2 linked regions of the Caenorhabditis elegans genome follow. The protein of the gene in region 2 purifies or fractionates together with the protein of the main gene of each other region. This does not show direct contact. Each region holds a gene or a part of one and is shown on either strand. Other genes may lie near its edges.

Region 1 (9,381 bases), on a different chromosome or scaffold from region 2:
ATTTTTTAAGTTTAAAAAATGTACGGAAAATGAAACTATAAATTTATGAAATATGCTGAAAAGGAAACCAGTTTTTTTAAACTTTATCTAGAAGTAATAAATTTATTGTTAATTTTCAAGAAAGAATAGTGCATATTTGACTGCCAAACTCTGCGTGCAATTATCTGAAACATTTCAAATTTGTAGAGAATTTTTATTTGGTCGGCATACCATGATCGGCAAAAATTGAGTATTTGTTTTCGAATGTTAAAAACTTCAAAAATATTTTTTAAAGCTTTACCTAAATTTTTCTAGACATTTTAGCAATGTACAAGTTATTTCAAACATTGTTCTTACTGGAACCAGAAATAAACTTTGAAAAAATGTTTCACGAGTACTTCGGCGGAATGTAGACACGTTCTATTATGCCAACTGAGCCAAACAAACTCAAATATCATCAAAAAGTCCAAAAACTCAACTCAATTCTAACATCCGTCTCTAAAATTGCTCGAAGGAATGTGTTTCTAATAAATATATAATGACATTCAAATTAAAAGCATATGCGGACATTCATAAAAATTTTGTGTGTTGTTTTAAGATTAACGCATACATAATTTGATTATAGAATTTTATTAAGGAAAAATTAGAGCTCAAAAAAAGCTCAAAAACACACTGTTAAGTTAACTATCAACACGTTATTACTGTTGTTTAAACGACCCGAATATTTAACAACGTCATACAATGAAAGAAGTTTGTGAGGGGGGAAGAATGACAAAAAATATGACAAAATTAAACAATAATCTCTCGAACGATTCGTCGATCTTCATCACTGTTCTCCAGTACATCACCGTTTGTAAAGCCGGATAGTGAAGTATCTGAAAGTTGAATCGTTTGGTCTACAAAAATTGCGGCAGGATTTAACAAGTGCGTCTGTAAGTTATATAGCCACCCGTGGTGTCAGAGTGTCTCATTTCGGTTTGATCTACGTAGATCTGAAAGAACGCGAGAGTTGCGACGTAGAGTTCTCATCAGATTTTGCATGGTTAAGAACGTGCTGACGTCACATTTTTTGGCCAAAACGTTCCCGCATGTTTTGTAGATTAAACCGTAATGACACAGCCTGACACCACGTGTAGCCAGCTACCAATTAAGTTCACTGTATGGCTAAAATGGAATAAAGCATAATTACTTAAATGGGCAATTGCATTTATCAGTCAATCGGGAATTGGGCAATAAGTTAGTAGTAGGGTTATTGATTTTATTATAGTGCAGAAAATATTCAAGAAAATTCGATCTACTTACCAATTAATCTTTTTACATATCTAGGAAATAGAATTTTCTAACTCACTTTTTAAAACTTCTGTATTTTCTTGTAAATAACAATCTGTGGACACATCATATTCCATATTCAAACCGGGCGGTTTCGTCGACTTTGCATCATGTTGACTAAAACTTTTGAAGTTATTCGAATTTAAATATTCTCCTAACCTCAAATGATTAGTTTCGTTTTCCGTTATTGCAAATGTTGCGTGCTTTGGTTCTTCATAATCTGCAGGCCTTTTCAATTCATCTCCAGGTAGGGAAGTAAGAATGATTGGCCTAAAAATGAGTAAAGTAGGAAAACATATATTTTAATTTTTTTTGCTTACGAAAGTTTTGAAGTTTTTGGATTTGATCGAGTTTTGCAGCAGACAAGGAAGAATACGCAGATAGCAAGACCAATGAAAATGAAGAATAAAAATGGGAAAAACACGTTGGTCTTCCAAACTGAACCAGAACCGCTTGCTGAAATTTTATTTTGGCTTCAGACTAAACTTCACATTAAAAAAAAACTTACAAATAGTTTTAGAAACTGGTGAGCATTTAAGTCCATTAGCAGTTGTGCAGAACCTTGCTCTATATTCTCTTCCAGGAATGATATTTCCGATAGGGTTGCTTGATGTATGGCAAGTGCTGGTTCTCCATATTCCATCAAGAAATACGTAGAGCAATGTGCAAGCATCCGATGGTAGTTTTGGCTGAAAATATTGACTAGTTTTTTTTCACGATTCAGTCATTGTGCATAGTCAATATCACGAAGTGAGCAACAAACTGCATAACTAGCACTATTCCGTAAAAATGCCCCTTGGATTTCCAATATCCAGAGTCTGCCATTTACCCACCTCAACATTAATCTTCTGTTCACTGGAATCCAGAACTAGGCGGCTTGGGGACATCATGTTCGCGTCTTCAACGACGTCTTCAGTGGAGGCAATTAGAACCGGCGTAAATTCCGATTCGCCTTTCTCGCTAACAGCTTGAATGCGTAAATTGTAAGTGGATAATGGGGTAAGCCCGGTGAAGTTGAAGATGTTCTTCGACACTAGCGTGCCGTCGATCTGCGATAAAAATGGAGATGATTATGAGTGTTTTAATGGCGGTAATGGAATAGTTTCTGGTCGTATTTTTGAATTGGTCAGTATAAAAAAGAGTGGAATCTAGATGTTTCTGAGACGGATGTAATAAATAAATAGGTTTTTTTTAAAGTTGGTTGGTGCAACGTAATAAAAATCTGTTGGTGCGTAACCCCGTTATATATTTCCAAATCAATCTACCAACCTCCTGATCTTGTTGCACGGCATTAATATTCAGCTTTGACACTGGAGCATTTCCGTCGATTTCTCCAGTGAATGGGTCAATCTTCCTTGTTTCCAGCACATACGTTTGATCAGCACCTCCGTCAAATTGTGGGACCCATCCAAGCAGAACAGAGTTTGAAGTAGCCGACAGCTTTTGAAGGTCCAATGGAAGTGCTGGTGGACTAGTCTTTCTCAATTCAATCACAACATGGTCGCCGCCATTGCCATTTGTTGCTCGGCACACGTACTCTCCGTAATCGGATTCTTGCACACTTTCAATTTGGAGCAATTGCTCGTATTCATCAGGTTTTCCAGTGATTCCGACAGTATGGAACGAGTGTCTCTCATTTTCGGAAATTTCCGAGTCTCTAAACATCCAATGAAACTCTGGCTCTGGTCTCGCAGAGACTTTGCAACGGATGATTGCTTGGGATCCAATATCAGCAGCGGCTAGTGACTTTTCTGGGAACTTCCTGTTTAAGAACACCGGCTTATGAAGAACTCGAACAATTGTCCACGAGCTGCTGTCTTTATCGGTTTTGTCAGACCCATTATCAGCCACACATGTAAAATTTCCTTTGTCCGACCATTTCAGAGGACCCGCAAGTGTCAAGGTACTAGCAACCGTCTGAGTACAGAAATCCTCTGGAAGGCATTTTGATTCGGATGTTGCAGATGAAGCGTAGATGCTCTGTTTTACTGGACGCCCATCTTTCAGCCATTTGATAACAGGAGATGGATATCCTTGAGCCTCACACTCCAGTATTTTCCCTTGTTCTCCAGATGTGAAAATTCGCTCAGTGGCAAGGGGACTAGAAATTCGAGCTTTTTCAATGACCTGAAACAAATAGGTTGGTTATGAGAAACTACAGTATTAATTATCTTACCGTGATCATTACTGTTCCAATTTTTCCTTCTCCTAGATCGTTGTATGCCTTGCAAGAATATACGCCATTATCCGATAACTGAGCATTCCTGACTTCAAATGACTTTTCTGTGTGGCCTTCCAAGCCGAAAATTCCACCGGATGATGGAGAAGCCCACTATAAGAATTTTCCTAAAATTCGGAGAACATTTCAAGCCAAACTCACCGTATAAGAAGCACTCGGATTTCCTGCATCTTCAGCTTGACACATCAACTTGATAGTCTCTCCAACATCTACGTTCTGTCGAGCACTAACAATTTGAGCCTGACCAGGCTTTCGCTTGACGTCAACAATTGTCGTTCCTGTGCCCATTCGTTGCTGTGACCCAGAATGTCCGTAGACTGTCAAAAAGTTGGTCGCCATACATGTGTAATTTCCACTTTGCGCTCTAAATTGGAATTTTTTAAAGTGAAATTCGAGAAAAAATATTTTTACTTTGAAATTGATGTAATTGTCAATCTGGACCCATTCTGCTTGAAACCATTTGGTCCAACCCATTTGATATCAATGACTTCTGGAACTGCACTGACTTCACACAGAATATCAATATCTTCCATTTCGTTAGGGCTGATTGACTCCTGAAAAAGTTGTTATAAAAATTTTTTTTTTAAGTATTTGGTTTGTTATGTTATAGCCAGATATTGACCGGGTAGTTTTTTGTTAAAAAATTATTTGGGTTCGCGATTATTCCAACAGTATAATCAAAACTAACCGGAACATTAATTCTTGGTATGTGCTGTACAACCATTTTCAAAACAGCTGTGCCTTCTCCCAGTTCATTTGTCGATCTACACTCGAAATCTCCGCTCATTGAGCTGTCAACTCGGATTGGCCAGATTTTTCCCTGATATCGTTCCCCTGACGCAATATGCTTCCATTCATAACTATGAGCTGGGGGATTTGAAGCTGAGTTGCAAGTTAAATTGACCAGCTCTCCTTCTTCTACTGACAAGTGAGTGAGGTTTTCGGTTGGCGTTACGAAGACGACTGGTTTGTAGAGCACGTTAAGCTGGGAACTTTTCACTTGTTTTGTTTCTCCGCCAAGCATGGCTCTGTTAGTGACGTCACACTGCACGGATTTTCCGTCATCGCTTGAGGTTACGCGGAAACTGAAATAATTGAATTGTTAGTAGAATTTTAAAGGGAGGTTATTTAAATTATAATCTAATTTTTTTTAAACTCACTGTAACAAACTTTCGGTTGCACCGTCCCTAAACTGAGTTGTAAAAATAGCTGAACTCGCAATTGTATCATTCGGTAGTGTCCATCTGAAAAAAATTACTTCTAACAATCCCCGAACTTTTCGAGAACTCACGTGAATGTTGGCTGTGGGCTTCCACCAACCGAGACACACTTGGCAGTCATAAAGTCTCCTTCAATTACGCTCTCGGAAGGTGTAGTGCTAATAATTGGGTCACCAGGTGGAACTGAAATATGTATTTCATTATTTGACATGAACATGAGTGGTAGTAATTATTTTGAAATTGACTTGTTGCGTTGAAATACGATATGGTTGGTTTTCTGGTTTTCTATTAAATTTTACTTTTTAGTTCATTTCTGGAAAATTGTTCTGAACAAAGAAATTAGTACCAGCAAAAAAAATTGAATGGAGATGTTTCCGGTCGCACTGACAATTTTTAGTGACACAAACAATCAAGCGAGCACCGACCAAGTTTATCAAGGCGCTGCTCAAACTTAACAATGCAGTGACCAACTTGAGTTATGCACTGACAAAATTGAAAAATGCTATAATTTTAAATAAGTAATTATTGAGTAATGCTACTTGAAAGTAATTTTCTAGCCTAACCCTGTTATTCTATGTATATCGGGAAAACTTAAAATTGTTTTATCTCCTCCATAAAACAAAAACGGTCACCAAAATAACGTTTCTAATTCAATACTATATTTTCATTTTTGTTCTAGGAAATTACTTCCAACAAAAAGGTCAGCATTATTAGTGCCAGCCTACTGCGCATAGGTCAATAATTGGCAGTTGTCATGCACAAAAAAAAGTACAAGTGGTAATGGGTTTGGAAAGAATAACTGGACAGTGACAAAATTGATAAATGCACTGATTAGTATGAGCGGTGCACTGACAAAGTTATCATTGAAGAATGTTAATTCAGGTAGTTAAACTGGGGTTTAACAACAATTTTTCTGGAGAAAGAACAATATTTGATCGCATATTTGAAAATCACCTTATCAATTGAAAAATGCTAATCTCTTACCTAAAACAACAACGGTCGCCAGCGCGGAGTACTGCACATCCGAATCATCTGTTCCAATTACATTACAATGGTAAGTCCCTTCGACACTATTCTTTTCCACTTCAGTGATTCGAAGGCTATAGTTTCCTGTCGCCGAATCATTCTCCAAAATGAACCTTGAATGCTTTTTTGCGAGAAGTTTGTCGTTTTTCGTGATCATTCTATAATATTGACATTGCAATTATGAAGTTGATGGGATTCGGAGAATAGAAATGAGAAGTTTCATTTTAACCACTGTTAGAGTGAAGCATGAAATTGGTGAGAAACTTATTGAAAACATAAATTTGAAATTTGAAAAATGCTCACCTCAACTGTCCATTATTGTACCTCGCCCAGTTGATTTCATACTTTTGTCTGTCAAAATACTCTGGTTTCACGACACATGGGATGACAATTCCCTCATTTCCTTCTTGGAGAAAATACGGTTCCGAGCTGGGTTCTTTTAAGAACACATCTGATGAATCTGAAATTGTCAATAAATTTTTTGTTAAAAATTTTTCGAATTTCAATTACCTGCACTATTGGTGAGTTGCACTAAAAATAAGAAAAATAGGAAAAATAACCGCTTCCCTCCCATCTGGTTGGTAGAATTCCTCTGAAATTATTTAAACTTTGTAAGACTGTATTAAACAAAAAAAATAATGAGAATGAAAAGGATTACAAGAAGTTGAACATTGAATTGAAAATGAAAAACAAGACAGAAAGTATCAAAATATCATTAAATGACCTTTTGAAAATAATCGAATTTGATTTAAAAAAACAATCAGAAGGGTTTTTTTTCAAAATTAGTGAACTTTTTTCAAGGTCTATGAAAACAAAGTCCAAATCTCAGGCCTATGCTTAGGCTCAATATTAAGTGTGGGCTTAAGCATAGGGCTAGGCCTTAGACTTTATATTTTTAGACTTTTGAAATGAAATAGTTTTTGAGATGACATAAATTCGCTTACTGAAAGATAACACTGGATTTTAAATCCTCTATACGCAAAAAAAACCAAAAAGCACAAAAAGTGTAACATAAGGGTGTTCAATTTCACACCAATATTTCCACATGGTTGCTCCGCAACTCTCAGATATCCAAAATTCTATTTCAAATCTTTCAAGTGAAACTAAGTAAAAAAGAGAAAAAATAAGCACGAAAATTAGACAGGCCGAATCAAAGAAAAAGAACCGATGGAACTGGTTGAATGTGGGAGAATTGGAGGCAAAAAAAAGATCGTGAAGATTAGTATTTAGTTCGGCAACAGCCTTCTCCTCCCGTAGTCGGGAAATGACACATTTGTTGGAAGATGGGGAGAATGGAGGAATTAAAATTTAGAAGTTTGCAACTTAGATACTCTCGATTTCAAAGAAACTCACACATTGGCGGCATGTTGAGTGCAACAAGCGTTGGTTTAGTTAGGAATAACATGCATAGTATTACTGTATTTCTGGTTGTTTTGGGTTTGTGCCAAAAAAATATATTCAAAATTTTCTTGCAATTCGATGATTCGGCAATTGCCGAGTTTTAACATATTTGGTAACTGCCGAAATTTTTTTTATTATTTTTCAACAGCCCGATGATTCAAAAATTAGGCAATTTAACATTTATCGAGTACAAAAATCACAAAACAATTCAAAAAATCAGCTAAAACTAATTTGTTCTGTAATTTTTCCCAACTCTGAATATCTGAAAATTGGATCACAAATTTGCAAACTTTCTGATCAAAAATGCACTAGCAATGCATATAATTTGTTAAAATAATACAAAACCCAGCACACCGGCACAATAGCAGTAATTAGCTGGGTTTGACATACCTTGAAAAGGGGGGGGGGTATTGTCTAAACTAATAAAACCAAGGCAACCACCATGTGTGGAACACAAATTTGTCGCAATTCATATTGAAAAGCTGTCAGAATGGCAATGAGGTGAGGGGACGTGCTTTTGGAGGCTACTCTACCTAACCACCATGTCCGCGATTATTTTTCGGAGAGAGGGAGACCGAGAGAGAGAAAAGGGACTGACTGTGGCTAATTATGAGACGTAATTACGGGGGGTGCGACGCGAAGGACTTAGAAACAAATAAATGGTAGGGGCGAACGAAAGAACATACAGCCCCACCGACAATTCATTCACACAAGCCCCAGCAGCACCAATTAAAAATTCGTTAGCCGGTGTTCCTATTTAGTTGTTTTTGGTTTCAGATTCCGCTTGTTTTGGAATTGTTGGAAGCCGAAAATTGGCAGCTTCAAAACGTTAATTATGACAATGTTTAAGCTGAACGGGGATGGAACATATAACACAGCTTAAACAGGCTATTATAAATCGAGAAGATGGCTATACATATGTATGTTTGGTGATTAACCAGCGTTATGTATGAAATTGTCTTTTCAAAGCCTTCAAGTTGAACATTTAATTTAATAAAATTAAACAAAAACGGAATCAGACGACAATTATGCCGGACAAAAGTGACATTATATTTGGTGATTGACTGGGGTTTCCAAGTTTTGTGATTTATATTCATAGCGATGGCTACAAAAAATAATGGCTTTTTAGAATAGGATTTGAAAAATGTAAGAATCAAGCTAAAAGCATAAGAATTAGTTTAACAAGCAACTTTTACTCTCTAATTTCCTGTCAAGCCTAAAATTTTTTTTACAAAAATAGTCTCAAAGCTTTTCTTTTCTCTTAATCTCAAGACAAAAGCCCAATAGCTCAATTTCGCCACCACGCTTGGCTCTAATTATGAAAACAGTTAAAATAATTCAATCAAAATACCCATTTATTTCCCTCACACCACCCGAACATAAATCTCCTCATTTAAGTGTACACCTGATCCAGATAGAGATTTAGTAGAAATGTGAGCCGGGCCTACAGCTCAGGTAGCACCTGGACACCTTTTCTTAATCCTAAAATGGGGGATTTTAGTGCAACTGGGGAAGGGGGAAGGGGTGCTAATAATAATTTTTGGTTTTGGGTAGTAATTGTAATGAGGAAGACAGGACACAAACCTAGAAAAAAGGGAAATGTGATGCGAGGTTTGTTCTGAATCAGTATTTGAGAACTTATTCAGATATCATAATTAAACAGTTATATGTAAATTTAGTTAGTAACAAAACAATGATTTAAAATGTTAACTAATTTTGCAATGACCGCAACGCAAAGGTGAGAAAAAACCACTCGTGCGTGTGAAAAACCACTTATTGAATTACCGAATTTCAATTTTTTTTTTGAAAAACAAAAACAAAGCCAAATAGGAATTTTTCAAATTAATTACATTTTCAAATTTCAAAAAATTGAGCGTTATTTTTTTAATATTTACCAAGTGCCACATTATAAAACTTCAAAACCCATTCAAAAAGTGTCAAGAAACAGAGAAAACGCCGAGAATGGTAAGAAGTAGTGGGCAGCAGGAGAGCAACAGGAGCCCACCAAAGGTAAATAGTGTGGGGGGGGGGGGGGGACGCTGACCTGTAGCTGAGTGTGCAGCCGAGCAGCAGAATAGGAACGAATAAATTTGACGGTAGAGACGGTGAGAGAGAGGGGACTTGTTTGGTTCCCGTTGCGGTGGTGCGCGGGAAGAGCCTACCATGTTTTTGTGCGGCGAATTGTGA
Region 2 (7,459 bases):
GGCCTTCGATATGACTTTTTCTTTGATGATGTTGCGCCCATCAACGGAGTAGCTGGAGTTGAAGGTTCGGTGAATCCGTCATTCGTCTCACTTGGAGCTTCACTCATATCTTTTGTGATCGTTGATGTGTCATCATCTTCTTCTTCCTTGATGTCGTCTTTTGATGATTTTGCAGAGGATGCTTCATCATCGTCTTCATCCTGAACTTCTTCTTCTTCGCCAAAAGTCTCTTCAACTCCTGCAAAGTTCTCAATATCGTCAGCTTTCACTGGAGTAGATTGGTCAACTGGTGAACTATCATCCATTGGCTCCGGCTCTTCGACGGGCTCTTCAGCGGGCTCTTCGGCGGGCTCTTCAATTGTTCCAACAGATGGGATAGGATATTCCTCAGTATCTGCTGGTTCTTGTTGAGCTTCAACTTCCACGGGCTCGGGATCTACTGACACTTGTGGCTCTTCTTTCTCAATGTTTTCGTAATCATTCTGCTCAACTTGATCCAAAGGAGTTCCATTACTATAACCCGCTTCAGCACCTTCTTCATTCTTTACAAAATTATCAATTCCTGTATCATCTTCTAATAGATTCGAAGTTGATTGTTGATCCTCTTTAAATTCCACTTCATCTTTCAGTTCTTCAACTGGAATCGTTTCTTGAGAATACTCATACTTTGGTTCATCCTCTTCTATTATTGGTTCTTCTTTCGGAACGTCCTCTAGAATTTCCTGTTGATCACTAATTGCCTGAAGTTCTTGATCGTTTTGAGAAGACTGTGGCATTATCGGATCAGATACAGATGGAGATGGTATGGCTTCAGGAGCAACAGTAGGCTCTTGATATCCTGACGACGATGGAAAATCAGGAAACTCCGGGTAGGCGTTCTGCTGTTGAGATGATGTCGATGGAGTAGAAGTTGCCGGAATTTGGGCTTGACTCGGTGGTGCTGATTGATCCACTGATTGTGATGGTTCCATTGAAGCCGGCGCCGTACTAACACCGATACCGTATCCGGATGGGTGCTGCTGCTGTTGTTGGTTGGGTTGGGTTTGATGTTGGGATGGATGTTGCTGAGGATGATGTTGCATTGGGACCGAAGCAGGCTGTTGATGCTGGTGAGGATGTTGAGGTTGTTGCTGCTGTTGAGGATATCCAGACATCTGAAATATTCAAAAATTTAAGAATTAATTAGGAATTACAAGCTTACGTTCTGCTGATGTTGAGCATGCTGCTGCTGCTGCTGTTGATACTGTGCATACATCGGATGCTGCTGTTGTTGCTGAGCATACGGATTTCCAGAACCATTCTCCATTCCATTATACTGTTGCTGATACGGCGATGGTTTCTCTGGTTCCATCTTAACCTGTGGAGCATTTGGAACCGGTGATTCTTGCATAGACGGAGTTGGCTCAGGCGGCACAATAGATTCCTTGCTTTCAGTGGAGCTGGCTCCAGATCCCGCACCTCCGTAACCATCGTGGTAGACAGATATCAGTGTCCTCGTCTTATCAGCGGTTATATGAACTTGACTTCCAGGTTGATTCACATGAACTGGCACTGAGTTCGGATTCGATGGAATTTGATTCGATTGGGAAGACGTTGGTGGTGGTGGTCCTTGATGATGTCCGCCAGCAGATGCAGCTGCTGCGGCCGCCGCTGCAGCAGCAGCAGCTTGTTGTTGTTGTTGCTGCTGTTGCCACTGCACGTGTTGAAGCTGTTGGCTGTACCGATAATGATCACTTTGGAACTGAGCAAGTTTATGTTGCAGCTGTTGAACTTCTGCGTCAGCCGACGCACTTCGTTGCATATTGTAGAGTTGTTGAATTCGTGCCTTGCATTCTGCAGATGATTTTTCCACTTGAGCAATGACGTTCTGAAAAATAAGTGATTTAGTTTAGTTTTTATTTTTAAAATTTGAACCACAAACACATATTACGGGAACCCGAAATTCTGAGAATGCGTAATGCGCAACATATTTGACGCGCAGAATATCTCGTAGCGAAAACTACAGTAATTGTGTAAATGACTACTGTAGCTCTTATATCGATTTATGGGCTCGACTTTCGAAACGAGTATTCTATCGAGTAGCTACATACCATTTTCCTTCGCTTTTTCGTATTTTCTCATTTTTTGCTAATTTAAAAAATCGAGCCCTGTAAATCTACAGTATTCATTTAAATAATCACTGTAGTTTTCGCTACGAGATATTTTGCACATCAATTCAAAAAGACGAAAAATCCATTAAAATTTGAAATTCAAATATATTTTGAATGTTTGAAAAACATCGAATTTTGTTGGTTTTAGGCAATAATATTTTGACCGTATTGTAGGAAATTTCTTGCAAAATAGTCTAAAGAATTATACGTGAAACCTACAAAATTCAATTTTTCTCAAGTATCAAGATGAATTTGAATTTGTTTTTCAGAAGAGGCTTTATTTTGACTTTTCATTGTTTGTGTTTGCAATTTCTCGCATTTTCATTCCTACTACCAACTCACCATCAAATCATTGGTTCCAACTCTTCCCCATTGTTCCTGTTGTGCCATTTGCATTGATTGAGGCGCCGTCACAGGTCCACCTCCTTGCTGTTGCTGCTGTTGTGAAGGTGGTGGTCCACCGTAACCCTGATAACCATCCCAATATCCTGGTGGTGCCTGTTGTTGACTGTGTGGTGGATATTGATGCCTCATCTGTGGAGGAGGTCCCGCTTGTGGAGCATACGGTGATTGTTGGGAGGGTGGTGGTGGATATCCAGTGGATGCCTGTGGTGCATAACCATATGGACCATATCCGGGTGGCCCTTGGGCTTGTTGTTGGCCGGCTTGTTGTTGTTGAGCTCGTTGTTGATGGTACATTTGTTGATAGTTCTGAGGTGCTTGTGGCGGTGGTGGATATTGTCCTTGCGGTGGTGGTCCATTTGTTACGGGTCCTGGCCGGTACCCTTGTTGTGATGGACCATTGGATGATGGATAGTGTGGTGGTGGAACGCCGCCGTACATCGCCATTTGGTTCTGAAAATACTTTGAGAGGAGTCAGTGATATTCTTTAGATATTTAAATAAAATATTCATAATTTTAAAGGTCGAGTAGAGTCGTTTTGGGATTTTGTTTCAATTTGAAACTTTCAAATAATGGAAAATAGTCTGAAATGATCGAATATTTATATTTAAATAATTTAAATTTTAAAATTTTCGAGACAATTTAAAAAATTTTAACTTTTTAATATGTAGTCTATTATTTAAAACAAAATCCCAAAACTGCTCTTTTCTATCAATAAAGTTTTTAGGCAGTTTATTTCCAAGATTTTCCAAATAAACTACTTACCGGATATCCACCCTGTCTCATCATTGGATTATTCGACATTGCCGCCATCGACGCCATCGGATCCATCTGTGCAGCTGCTGCCGCCGCTGCAGCCGCCGCCGCTTCTGCCTGAGCCTTTTTTGATTTTCCACGTGCCTTTTTTGCAGGTGGTGGCTGAGCTGGCTGTGGTGGTACTTGTTGTGGTGGTGGAGCCATGTGCTGCATTTGATGTTGTTGCTGCATCATCATCATTTGATGATGCTGTTGTTGTTGTTCATATGGATTCATCGGTTGACCTGGATACCGTTGAGGAACGCCCTGCTGAGATTGTTGAGATTGTTGTGGTGGCGGGCCGCCCATCATTGTGTAATCTGCCATTTGGGACATTTGTGGAACGTAGTCGTCGCCTGCAAAAATTTTGAATAATTCCCAAAACTAGAATTCGATATTTTTTTTATTAAAATGATGATTAATTTTTCTTATGCAACAAAAAATGTAATATTACCTAGACTCTAAATTGTATGATCTTAAAAAAGGTATGCGCCTTCAAAGAGTACTGTAGTTGCAAACTCTCGTTGCTGCGGAATTTTCCTCGATTTTCAGTTTTTCTCACGATTTGTTAAAATTTATGTGATTTATTTTGGTTTTTTAGTAAATATATCAACTTTTAACGAGAAACTTTGAAGAATTCGTAGAAACGAAATTTTTGAGTTACAGTAATCTTTAAAGGCACATACACGTTTGTACTTAATAAAAAAAAAGTCGTGTCGAGACCCTAAACAGTAAAAATCGTTACATAAATGTTTCGATTGTAAAAATGCTAGAAATAGTTGCAAGACCCTTTGCACCTCTAAAGTGAATTACATTTTTCAAGAATCTACAATACTATAAAAAATTTCGAACTTAAATAAATTCAATTTTCAAATGTTTCCAAAAAGACTCACCTTCATCCATTTTGTGTGTTTGGTTATGTGGTTATAATGAGATTAACTTGTACAAAAAGAAAGCGAAAATATATAATTTAAAAAATCCAATTCTTCACAATGCGTCAGCTGTTTCTTTTTGAATTTGTATATTAATTCAGCAGCCTATCATCTGAAAATTAAAATAAATTAATAAATTTGAAATGTTGAGGACCGATTATTTCACTATTGATAGGAAAAAACAAAAGAAAAAAGAAAGATGGTAGTTCGAGATATAAAAGAAAAATATTATTTGATTTTTAGAAATTTAGCAGCACTTGGTCTCGACACGACTATTTTTTTAGATAAATACAAAAATATGTGCGCCTTTAAAGAGTATTGTAGTTTCAAAAACATAATTTAAATACATTTTTCATAGTTTTTCTTATGATTTCTTAAAAATGTTTGGGTTGTAATAAATACATGTTTATCGAAAAGAAAAAGAAATATCGATAAAAATTCCGATATTGAAGTTACAGTACTCTTTAAAGGAGCATTTTTCCAAAGAAAAATTGTCGTGTCGAGACCGGGTACCGTATTTTTGAAATGCGCTTCGTTGCGAACAAAAAATATTGAACTTTTGAATCGGGCTACAAGGTTTTCAGAATAAATAATATATTATGGAATCGAATGGAGACATAAATGGAAGGAAGTATCTAGAACCAAAAGACGCGAATTTTTTTTGCAAAAAAGATGTTATCGTCAACAGTCATCATCAACCAAAAAAGGCCAGAAAAAACCCAAAGAAAGGAAGTTTTTTTGTTCTTCAAAAAAAAACGAATCTTCGTTTTCAATTTGATGGTGAGTGTATGTGTGTGTGTAGTGCGTATGCAATGGCAATGAGAAAAAAAAACGGGGGGACGAATGAGTAGAGTGAGAGTTCATGGGAATAGTATTATAGTATACGAGATGCAGACATGGCAAGACGAAAAGGAATAAGAAGAAGAAGAACACAAGAAACGGACACACAGACCAGGACACTTCTCTCGACTCTCTTACTCTCTCCTTCTCACACATTGCCCACTGTCTAATGTCTCTCTCCGAGCTTGAGCACTCTCTCATCATCTCTTGCTGTTTGGTCGTCTCTTCTTCTCTCTCAACTCTTCTAATCGATTCTAGCACACACACAGAGAAAGAGGGTTAGATGTAGAAAGTAGAGGTGCTATGTGTGTGGGGTGGACCCCCTCTTGGTCGCTGCTGGGACATTTGTGTCCCCTTCCCGGTATGTTGTTGATGATGATGATGATGAGGATGGAGGACGCCGGACGGATCGAGTCGAGGAGGAGATGGAGGACGGCGGTGGTGGTGGTGGTTGACCAAGATGAAATTGAAGATGATGATGAAGGTTTTGGTTTTTGGAGATGAGTAGAAGGAGAAAAACGAGGATAAGTGTTTTTTTTCACATACAATTCATTCTTTTATCGAAGAAACGAAGCGAACAAGTGATTAACTGCGTCTCGATTAACCAGACTGACCATTCTAAAGATGAAACCATGGTTACTGTAAGCCCTACTGTCAAGTTTTTGTTCTGGAAAATTTTTTTTTTCGAAAATAAATATAGTTTTAAACAAATTCAGTAACTGGAATATCTAAATACAATAGACTTTCAAAATCAGGAAAACGGAAGAAAAAGAAACAGAAGATTTCGTGCTGAGACCTAACATTTGGGCATTCACAATAATTGATGTATTTTCATTTTAAAAAATTCATTTCCCCCTCAAACATTTTTTTACAAATTTGTTGAACCCAAAAACTCTTAAAAACTACTAAATATCTTTCAAATTATCGAGAAAACTTTCGATCAATCTTGAAGCAAAAACAGATAAAACCAACATAAACTGCAGACCTGATAATGAGAAAACCCAATTGGCCAGCCACATGACATCAAACAACAGATGAATTCTACGTCACAAACTTTCATATTCATCAGTAGACGAAAAATGAATCAGTTCATTTAGCTCTAGATATTTATTTGATCAGCGGACTCGACTCGCTAGCTAAAATGAAACATCGCAGTAGTACAGATTTTCAGAATTTTTTTTTCCGAATTCTACGGAAGTAATGGAAAACATAGGAACTTCCTAATCACACAAGATGATACAACGCCAAAGTTGGCATTTTGCCAAGTTGGCCAGTAGAGACTCTGTGCGAGAGAAAAAGAGAGAACGTTGGCAATTTGCCAAGCTGTTCAAATGGACGGAAAGGACGCGCCGACGACATTGGCCCCCAGAAAATGGTGAAGCCGTCGAGACAGGGACCGATTTATTTACTCTTACGAAGTACCGCATATTTTAATCAGGAAATTCCAGTCAAAAGAAAAGTAGCGGAAAATTTGAAATTTTAAGGGCGGAAGATATTGTCTAGAACCTGGTTTTAGGCTCTCCAATTACGGTTTGATCTACAGAAAAATCGGAATTTTTAATTCAGAAAAATGTGATGTCATCTAAATTCCCACAATTCTGGTAGATCAAACCGAAAGGGAGAACTCTGACACTACTGGTCAAGTACATTTCAGTTCGGCATATGGAATTCTCCATATACAGATCCCCTGAACATGAGTTTGATAAATAATAATGATATCAGAAAAAAAGTCGTTATCCAAATCCGAAAATCCCACAAAATACCAATAGGAAAAATATGATTTAAAAAAGAAAAAAGGAAGAAGCATGTGCAACTTGGTTTTTGCTGTGTTGTCTATCGGTGAGTGTTATTGGCCAACAACCCTTTCCCCTCTCTACACCACAAAAACGCGCACAATCTCTTTCTGTCCGTCTCTCTACTCTCCAATAGTCTATCATCTGCTCTTCTCAATTTCACCTGTTCTCTGATCATGTTCTGACCACTACTCTGCGTCGTCGTCTCTTCCACCTCCTCCTTCCTTCCATTTCTACTAACCAATACTACTATTACGAGAGAGAGAGAGAGAGGGAGAGAGAGAGCGTGCTGCTGCTGCTGATGCTTGCCTTGCGCAGACCTCTTTTTCTGTGTGAGCGGTGGAGTGTGCGCAAAGAAGGAACTCATAAAACACTCACACGTTGTTCCCCCCGTTTGGTCCTCCCAATTCAACCACCCAGAGGTGCGCCCCCAGACGTTTTGGTTATGAGCGGCCAAAGGTGTGTATGTGTGTGTGTTTGAGAGTGAGCGCAGTGTGAGCGTCGTCTGTGTGTGTTCTGTTTAAATGAGAAAAAGAGCGGTTTTTGC

Evidence for each region.
Region 1: the proteins of chd-7 (region 2) and igcm-1 fractionate together in Caenorhabditis elegans (co-fractionation; one large-scale study listed by BioGRID). This does not show direct contact.

The regions. Positions count from the first base shown.
Region 1 is NC_003284.9:845,135-854,515, forward strand, and holds igcm-1 (B-cell receptor CD22-like), read right to left. Parts: upstream 6,388-9,381; 5' UTR 6,368-6,387; coding exon 6,304-6,367; intron 6,254-6,303; coding exon 6,097-6,253; intron 5,952-6,096; coding exon 5,752-5,951; intron 4,951-5,751; coding exon 4,839-4,950; intron 4,792-4,838; coding exon 4,708-4,791; intron 4,633-4,707; coding exon 4,236-4,632; intron 4,102-4,235; coding exon 3,959-4,101; intron 3,912-3,958; coding exon 3,689-3,911; intron 3,641-3,688; coding exon 3,485-3,640; intron 3,436-3,484; coding exon 2,578-3,435; intron 2,358-2,577; coding exon 2,142-2,357; intron 1,998-2,141; coding exon 1,817-1,997; intron 1,765-1,816; coding exon 1,629-1,764; intron 1,579-1,628; coding exon 1,468-1,578; intron 1,426-1,467; coding exon 1,328-1,425; intron 855-1,327; coding exon 769-854; 3' UTR 597-768; downstream 1-596.
Region 2 is NC_003279.8:4,694,185-4,701,643, forward strand, and holds the start of chd-7 (Chromodomain and Helicase Domain protein), read right to left. Parts: upstream 4,392-7,459; 5' UTR 4,251-4,391; coding exon 4,241-4,250; intron 3,704-4,240; coding exon 3,318-3,703; intron 3,006-3,317; coding exon 2,493-3,005; intron 1,868-2,492; coding exon 1,202-1,867; intron 1,155-1,201; coding exon 1-1,154.